Arabidopsis thaliana: one gene and its partner. The protein of the gene in region 1 interacts with the protein of each later gene in a pairwise test. Each region holds a gene or a part of one and is shown in the gene's direction. Other genes may lie near its edges.

What was found.
Region 2: the proteins of AT1G66300 (region 1) and STP4 interact in a protein complementation assay, tested with the Arabidopsis thaliana proteins (one large-scale study listed by BioGRID).

The regions. Positions count from the first base shown.
Region 1 is NC_003070.9:24,715,673-24,719,868, reverse strand, and holds AT1G66300 (F-box/RNI-like/FBD-like domains-containing protein), read left to right. Parts: upstream 1-1,818; coding exon 1,819-2,787; intron 2,788-2,861; coding exon 2,862-3,002; intron 3,003-3,111; coding exon 3,112-3,372; 3' UTR 3,373-3,504; downstream 3,505-4,196.
Region 2 is NC_003074.8:6,932,625-6,937,783, forward strand, and holds STP4 (sugar transporter 4), read left to right. Parts: upstream 1-1,943; 5' UTR 1,944-2,423; coding exon 2,424-2,556; intron 2,557-2,642; coding exon 2,643-2,962; intron 2,963-3,043; coding exon 3,044-3,673; intron 3,674-3,755; coding exon 3,756-4,217; 3' UTR 4,218-4,573; downstream 4,574-5,159. UniProt on the Arabidopsis thaliana protein: Mediates an active uptake of hexoses, probably by sugar/hydrogen symport. Can transport glucose, methylglucose, galactose, xylose and mannose, but not fructose.

The DNA.
Region 1 (4,196 bases):
CAAGACGCTCTAGCTCATGCCAAGTTGTCGTCCTCTGATCCTCCTTGACGGACATTCGAGGTTCTGTTTCTGTACTTTCATTAATGTGAACTATGTTGTGTTATATATATAGATCGTAGACCATATGTTTTGCTTAAATCTTTCAATTGAACCAAAGATGAAAGATGTAATAAGGTTCGTGTAAGAGCCAAGGATTAAAGTTTTTAGCAACTCTTTATCAAACTATTGTTTTTTTATTCATTGTGGTGAATTTGATGCCTTATTGATCTTATACATGTTTGGCCTAAATGTGTAATGTTACTTCTTTTGACTAAAAGACATAGTTTTGCTCAACAATAATTCAGACGTTGAGTAGAAAAATATATAATGGTATAAGATCTGTGTAAAATAGCACAAGATGATTCAGTTTAACCAAAAATGGTATAATACACAAGGATTAAAGTTTCTAGAAACTCTTTACCATTACAGCGCTGATACCCAAGGATGATCAGATGAAAAACTAAACTATAACAGGTTTAGTAATCTGCATGTTAACGGGCAAGTATGATAATTCGGATTTGTAGAAATATTCCGAATTGGTAAAGGACCATATTTATATTCTGGTATTTCAAGTAACTAGAAATTGTTTTGAATAAATATTACGAAAAGGTTTTGATTTTTTATAGAAATATTAGTTTGAGAAACTTTCGATAATTCTATAAAACTTTTAGATAATTGAGGTCACTCTATTACTTTAACAACACACGTCGTATATATTTAGTTTGGTTTGTTTTTAGTAAATATGTAAATTATATAAACTTTAGTAATTTAGTGTTTATGTTTTCAGTATGACTAGAATTTAACCCGCGGTATACCGCGGAGACAATTTATTTTTTAAAGTTACTATATATAAAAGTTTGTAAATTATATTTATCTATAAAATATTTTTATTTTATAGTTTACGATTGTTATTAAGTAACGTCCTGTCAAACCCGTCCCGCCAATTCGTCCCGTAAAAAAAACTCACTGATTTTATTTATGATATGTTTATGAATCATTGTCTAAATATTTTTTAATTTTGTAGTAATTAAATGCTATCAAATATCTCTGCGGTTTGATGATTATAATCTGCGGTTTGATGATTATAATCGAATTATTATAGTCATGTAGAAAAACAATATCAAAAATGATAATTTTGTAGTAATTAAATGATATTAAATATTTCGAAAGTTTTATTTTAGTAACTAATCGTGTAGTTAATGTGGAGAGATTTTGGGAAGATTGTCAAATATTTAATTCAAAGATTTTCTTTATAAGTATCAAAAACAATTATTAAATGCCAGTGGCAGCCACTGTAAATAAATCCAAACTCCAGGATTTATTTCATAAAGTGGCTGCAAAAATGTATATATAAATATAAATTACATTTGTTCTCCGGTTATTCAATAAATAATGCAGATATTTAAAAAAAAAAAAAAGAGAACGAAGAGAAAATGAGTCATATGGGCCAAAAATTGACAAAAGTCATGTAGCAAGCAGACATTGTTTAGTCAGATGTTATTTTCTTAATTCTTTTTTAGTCTTAGGTTATTTGCATATTCCCTAATTTTTCTTTTGGTCGGGATTTGTTGGAAGTTTATTCAATATATAAACTAAAGCAGGTTTTACAAAAATGTTTATGTTTAGTAAAAAAGTTAAATATACTAATTTCCCATTAAAATCCATCTTTAATATTTGACCACAAACTGAGATATTTTTAAAAGTTAACGTCGTTTGTTTAACAGTTATCGTTTCATTTTCACCAACTCTATGCCGCTTTCTTCGCAATTTTGAAGTTACATGGACGAAGACGGAGAGAAACGTGTTCGTACCAAACGATTATGTTCTCCAGAATCTTCGGACAAAAAATCTGGTTATGAAGTTGATTGGGTAAGAGATTTGCCAGAATCTTTGATTTGTCATGTTCTCTTGAATCTTTCGACAAAAGATGTGATTAAAAATTGTGTCTTATCCACGAAATGGAGATATCTGTGGAGGTATGTTCCTGGTTTGGATTTGGATTGTAGTGATTTCACCGAATACAATACTTTTGTGAGTTTTGTGGATAGGTTTCTGAGTACCAACACTGAGTCGTACTTAAATAAGTTTAAGTTAGGATTCGATTGCGATCTTGTTGGGGATGAGGAGACTGGTAATGCTCAAATGGCGCGGTGGATCAACGATGTTGTCAAACGGAAAGTTCAGCATCTCGATCTTGAGTGGGGTGCATTGGAAATACCTCCAATAGTTTACGTGTGTAAGAGTTTGGTATCTTTAAAGCTTTGTGGTGTAATCTTACCAATTCCTGAGTTTGTTTGTTTACCGTCTGTGAAAGTTATAGTTCTAGATTGGGTTAAGTTTGCAAATGATTTGGCTTTGGAAATGCTTATCTCAGGCTGCCTAGTTCTCAAAAGCTTAACGTTATGCAGAAGTAACAATGACAATGTAAAAGTGTTACGTGTGAGATCTCAGTCTCTATTGAGCTTCAACTATAATGGCCCCAATACCATGGGTCCTGAATATGAGGAACTAATAGTTGAAATTGATACTCCCAAGCTTCAAGATCTAACGCTCTCTCACCGTATGACTGCAAGTTTCATAATAAAGAATCGGAGTTCTCTTGTAGGGGCACATATCAATATTGAGTTTAACTTTTGTTTTGGAGAGAAGTTTGATCCGAAGAATCTACCAAAGAGAGAAATGATTCGTAATTTTCTTGTCGGGATCTCTGGTGTTAAAAATATGGCCATCGCTGCATGTACACTTGAGGTAACGTTTATTGAATTCGCTATTTTAATGTTAACTTTATCCTGATCTTTTTCTTGTTTTTGTTGTTGTTGTAGGTCATTTATGATTACTCAAGATGTGAACCACTGCCCTTATTTCGTAACCTATGTCTCTTGAGTGTTGAGTTCTATGAGGACAGATGGGAAATGTTGCCATTCTTTCTTGAGAGCTGCCCGAATCTAAAATCTCTTGTCGTGGTAAGGATTGTTTACTTAAAACTTATGTACTTTCTTTGGTATAATAATGCAAATGGGGAAAGTATCATAATTACTCCAACTTGTTTCTTTCACTTGGTTGTAATTTCAGGGATCTAATAGATATAGAATGGAGAGAACTAGTATCATATCAGGACATCGATGTCTCTTATCATCTCTCGAGTATGTTGAGATAGAAACCCCATTGACAGGGGAGGTCTTTGAGATGAAACTTGTGAGTTACTTACTTGAGAACTCACCAATCCTCAAGAAACTCACTATACATTTGCATGATAATTCTAGAAAGAAAGCAGAATGTGAAATCCTTACCATTCCAAGACGCTCTAGCTCATGCCAAGTTATCCTTCTCTGATTCACGTTGACGAACATACTGTGAACTCTGTTGTCTTTCGGTACTTTTACTACTATGAACTATGTTGTGTTGTAGATCTGTAAGAAGATCATATGTTTGTCTTAAATATTTCAATTGAACCAAAAATGTAATAAGGTCCGTGTAAGAACCAAGGATTAAAATTTCCAAAAACTCTTTATTTATCTGGACTATTTGATTTTTTTATTCATTGTGGTGAATTTGATGTCTTGTAGATCGTAAGGAAAATTTATTTTTTGACTCAATGAATTGTTTTTGCTTAACAATAATAATTCAGAGGTTGAGTAGAAAAAGTATAATGGATTACAAAAAGGAAAAACAAAGCACAAGATGTTTGATGCTTCAGTTTAACTGAAAATGTTATAAGATTTGTGTAAGACCCTGGGATTAAAGTTTATAGAAACTCTTTACCAATATAGCTAGATGGTTAGATGAAACTAAACTAAAAACCGAATAAACCTAGCTCGCTTTCTTTTTTCCTTTTCTAAGGTTGCAAGAAGGAATCCAGTGTCGGACCAAATAGCTCCGCTTAAAGCAGGCAAGACAGCCAGTGCAACGATTCATAGACCACCGAAAGCTGTAGCAGGTGTAATATATCAGTTAACTTATTTATTTATTTTTTGCTAAACAAATCAGTTAACTTATTTAACACTTTTTCATTATTTTATGCTGTGCAAATATTGTTTATGATATATTTAAAGATATTTTCTCTGATATATGTTCAACTAGTAAAATAAGCGCATGTGTAAAACTATCAGCGAAAAGAAATGGTATGTTTAAAAAACGTTTCTAGCTACCACATCTAT
Region 2 (5,159 bases), on another chromosome or scaffold:
TTATGTTTTGAGTTGGGTCTAGTTAGTGGCAAAGCATAGAGCAACCGATTGCATATAGTTTCCGGTGAATATGATATAACTAACACATGATGGTTATAATGAATAATTATGTCGAATACCATGCGGCGGATCATATGTTTTAGGCTGTATATGCCATACGTGATCTTGGATGACATGTCTTTTTTTCGAGATGATAACATTTATTAGTCGGTCGCTTAATTGATTTCGAGTTTTCTGTTGCCATTTTAAATACACATTTGCGTCAAAAAAAAAAACGAGTTTGCTGTCTCGAAAATAGCACCAATGCCCATTATTTCTTAATTGTATTTTTTCGGCTAAGGTTTCTAATTATTAATTTATTATCAAAACCTTACATATGGTAATGGTACACTGTACGAGTTTTTGGTTGTCTTGTGTTTTTCAATTTGTTCTTCCTCTTTATGTTTTGAGTTTTGTTGTCCTGTTTCATTTTATTCTTACTTTTGTTTTCTCTGAATTTTGTTTTCAGTGAACGTATAATTTAAAAATCTGCAATACAAACAAACAAATATCTAAAAGTCAAGTTGGCTTTACGCATGTGATCGACGAAACACCTAATTGTCTTGTTCTTTTTCATTCGTCTGAATAATTTCATGAAATTAACAAGACAAAGGTTCACATTTATAAAAAGGGAACGAGAGCAATCAAACTACAGAAGATCACTACATCAAAATAACGCATTTCTCAGATTCTCAGATTCAAACACATTCACCTAATTGTTTTGTTCTAGCTAGGCCTTTTAGCTATACAAATTTTGCATTAACATTACAATTTCCATCGGCATGTAAACAATTAGCACTAACTAATTAATTAGTACTGCAATATATCAAACATAAAAGATGGTTAATTAATTCAGTGTCAAGTTGCTGATCCTAATGAGAATGCAGTGCTGAGACAAGATCTGATGAGTCTAACAAAAATGTGACTAATTCAAATCACATTAATTACTGTATGTAGCAAACATAAGATTATATATATAATATATCACACCAATTTATATAGGGAATAAAACATATCCTTGTATGCAATGCATAACGTAGTTATTAATATAGCCTTACATGAATAACGTCGTTAAGATAACGATATGACACTATAATGACGAAACCTTATGGGAACATCATGAAAATAATGTAACGCGAGTTTTGACTTTCCAATGTAAACGAAAGGAGTAGAAAGCAACGGAAGACTACGAATGAAAGTATGGAGCTACGTATAGTTTACGAAATAATTAATTATACATATAGAAAAGTAGTGAGTCAACTTTTCTTTCCATCGTAATCAATAGCCCAACTGTTTACTATCATTGTTTGAAATATCCTCTGACACAGAAATGTTATCTTATAGTCAATTTGACGTACAATATGCTCTCTTAATAAAATCAAGAAATCTAGTTTTTATCAAAAACTAAATTTTGTCCCCATTCCATGGATAATGTTAAAACATTACATTCATTATAGATCCATGCATGTGAATGAAAAGGCTCACGGGTAAAAAGGTTATTAAGGTATCAATATGACCTCAAATTTTGGATAGATATTGAAGATTTCATACCACTTTTTTTAGTGTCAAAAGACGGAAAAGTAATAACTAAACTATACTACTTTTAAAAGTTTGAAAATTGAAAAACAGATTTTACACCTAATTTAAAATATCAGATCAAAGATCTTATCTACAAGACTAAAATTAAACTAGTAGCGGTCTTTGCTGTCCATTGACCGAGTTTTGCGGGTGGTTTACTCATTTAAGTACCACAGCATCAAATTAAAATAACTGTCACTTGTCGAAAGTGACTAGATAAAACCAAAAATAGCTTTAATTGAGTCAAAATTGTAGTTCTAGTGCAAAGTAAAGAGTTATCATCTTACAAAATGCGACTCATTAGTGTATTAATTAATTAATTTTCAGTCCAATAATCTGGTTAATTTGGTAAACTATCCAAAGAGTAATTAAATGATTCCTCGTCATAAATACTAATTTTCTACGTTTTAAGCAAAAAAGACAATAATTATTTGGTCTGAAAACTAAAAAAAGACACGAGATTAAGGGAAGAAGATAACGATCTAGAGGAATAGGCAAGTGGAAGAACCAGAACAACAGCTGTTCTTTTCTTCTAAACTTCAGAAGTCAGCCGACAGTTAATTTCTCCTTTTTTTGAGGTTTTGTCGAATCCTATAAATTTCAACTAAACTCTTCTTCATTTTCAATATCAAATCTTGTCTTCTTCTTCTTCTTCTTCTTCTTTTTCTTCTTCTTACATTTGATTTCTCTGTCTGAATTCGAGAACCAGATCTACTAATTACCTGAGAGAAAAAAGATCTGCTCTGTTTGTCTGAAACAGACAGAAGTCAACAAATCTTTCATTTGTTTTTTAGCAAATCAAAGAAATGGCCGGAGGGTTCGTCAGTCAAACGCCGGGTGTTCGGAACTACAATTACAAACTGACACCGAAAGTGTTTGTGACATGTTTCATCGGTGCTTTTGGTGGTCTCATCTTCGGATACGATCTCGGGATCTCAGGTTTTTTTCTTTTCTTCAAGTCTTGTTCTTCTTTGATCTGATCTAGGAATTTCCGGTGACTAATTAGGGTTTCTATATTCTTGTAGGAGGGGTAACCTCAATGGAGCCATTCTTGGAAGAGTTCTTCCCTTACGTCTACAAGAAGATGAAGAGCGCACATGAGAACGAGTACTGTCGATTTGATAGTCAGCTTCTCACTCTCTTCACTTCGTCTCTCTATGTGGCGGCTTTGGTGTCTTCTCTCTTTGCCTCCACCATTACTAGAGTTTTCGGAAGGAAATGGTCGATGTTTCTCGGTGGTTTCACCTTCTTCATCGGTTCTGCTTTCAACGGCTTTGCCCAAAACATCGCTATGCTTCTCATTGGTCGTATCCTACTTGGTTTCGGAGTCGGATTCGCCAATCAAGTAAGCTCTAAAAACTGTCTTTTTCCTTGATGAAGAAGTAACACTGGTGGCTTAGTTAACTGGTTTTGTTTTGTGTTTCAGTCTGTACCGGTTTATTTATCAGAAATGGCTCCTCCGAATCTAAGAGGAGCTTTCAACAACGGGTTTCAAGTAGCGATTATCTTTGGTATTGTGGTTGCAACGATCATCAATTACTTCACCGCACAGATGAAAGGAAACATCGGATGGAGAATCTCTCTCGGATTAGCTTGTGTCCCTGCAGTGATGATCATGATCGGAGCTCTGATCCTTCCCGACACTCCCAACTCTCTCATCGAACGTGGCTACACCGAAGAGGCCAAGGAAATGCTTCAGTCCATCCGAGGAACCAATGAAGTCGATGAAGAGTTTCAAGATCTCATTGATGCAAGTGAGGAGTCCAAGCAAGTGAAACACCCATGGAAGAACATCATGCTTCCTCGTTACAGACCACAATTGATCATGACTTGCTTCATTCCTTTCTTTCAACAACTTACCGGAATCAATGTCATTACCTTCTACGCCCCGGTTTTGTTCCAAACCCTCGGGTTCGGTAGCAAAGCTTCCCTCCTATCAGCTATGGTAACGGGTATCATCGAGCTCTTGTGTACCTTCGTCTCTGTTTTTACAGTGGATAGGTTTGGAAGAAGAATCTTGTTCCTCCAAGGAGGTATCCAGATGCTTGTCTCTCAGGTAACACAAACGCCTAACCCTAACCCTACTATACGTTTCTTAATTGGCACTCAATATCTCAAAATATCGGTGTGTATTACAGATCGCTATTGGAGCCATGATTGGAGTCAAATTTGGAGTGGCTGGAACAGGAAACATAGGGAAAAGTGATGCCAATCTAATCGTGGCACTGATCTGCATCTATGTAGCGGGTTTCGCCTGGTCATGGGGACCGTTGGGATGGTTGGTTCCTAGTGAGATATCTCCACTAGAGATCCGATCAGCAGCTCAAGCCATAAACGTTTCGGTCAACATGTTCTTCACATTCCTTGTGGCTCAGCTCTTCCTCACTATGCTTTGTCACATGAAATTCGGACTATTCTTCTTCTTCGCCTTCTTTGTTGTCATAATGACAATATTCATCTACTTGATGTTGCCTGAGACAAAGAATGTGCCAATCGAAGAGATGAACAGAGTGTGGAAGGCACATTGGTTCTGGGGAAAGTTTATTCCTGATGAAGCTGTCAATATGGGTGCTGCTGAGATGCAACAGAAGTCCGTATGATGATGATCAAGAATGAAGTTTTCTTTGGGCAATAAAGATTTATGAGAAAAGAGAAAGTGAATAATTCTTGGGATGAAATAAGAATAATTGTCAAAAATGCCTTACTTCCTAAAAGAAAGCTGCTCTGTCTTTAGCTTCAGAGACTTAGCTTTCATTGTTTCTTCTTTCTTCTTTTTTAATGTTTCTTTGTTGAAATTGTTATTTGGGGCCTAAAGATGTAAAAACAAAAAAAAGAACAAAATTATTTAAAAATGGTTTCTTATTTTACATTTCATTGAATCTTTATTTGAGAAAAATAGTGTTAACGCTTTATGCAAGAAACAAGAATAGTCATCACTCATCAATCGATATTCCAGTTTATCCTTACCATTTTTTTCTTTCCAATGATTGCGGTACCTCTTCAGCTCTTCTTTGCAACAAATTTTGTGAGAAAGTAATTTCACATTTTCGAAAACTGATCGTTTAATATAACTTAAAACTATCACTCATCTAGTGACGGTATTACAATTTCCCAAAAAAAAAAAGTTAGAAATAATACAAGTACTGATGTGCATCAGTGCATGGATGAATAATTGAGTACAGAGTCAAAAACTCCCGACCAAACCTAGCAGTGATATTACCTTTAAACTTTGATAGCATATATCAAACTGAGATTGACCTATGAATATGATGGCAACGAGCTCGTGGAAACTGGTAACTGAAGATTCTTTTTTTTTGTCTATTTGGTTTCATTGCCTGAAACTCCCTATAACGTTTTCCAATTCTTTCTTTCAAATTACGCATTGTAAATAACATTATTTTTGTTGAAAGATATTTAAGATTATTAAAAAATTCAAATTGATCTATATAGTACCAATTCTTTTTTCTGAATGTGATCATGAGAGAGTGTGTGTGTGTGTTTCGTTTTGTCAACGAATTATGAATTTGCTACGTACGTGACAA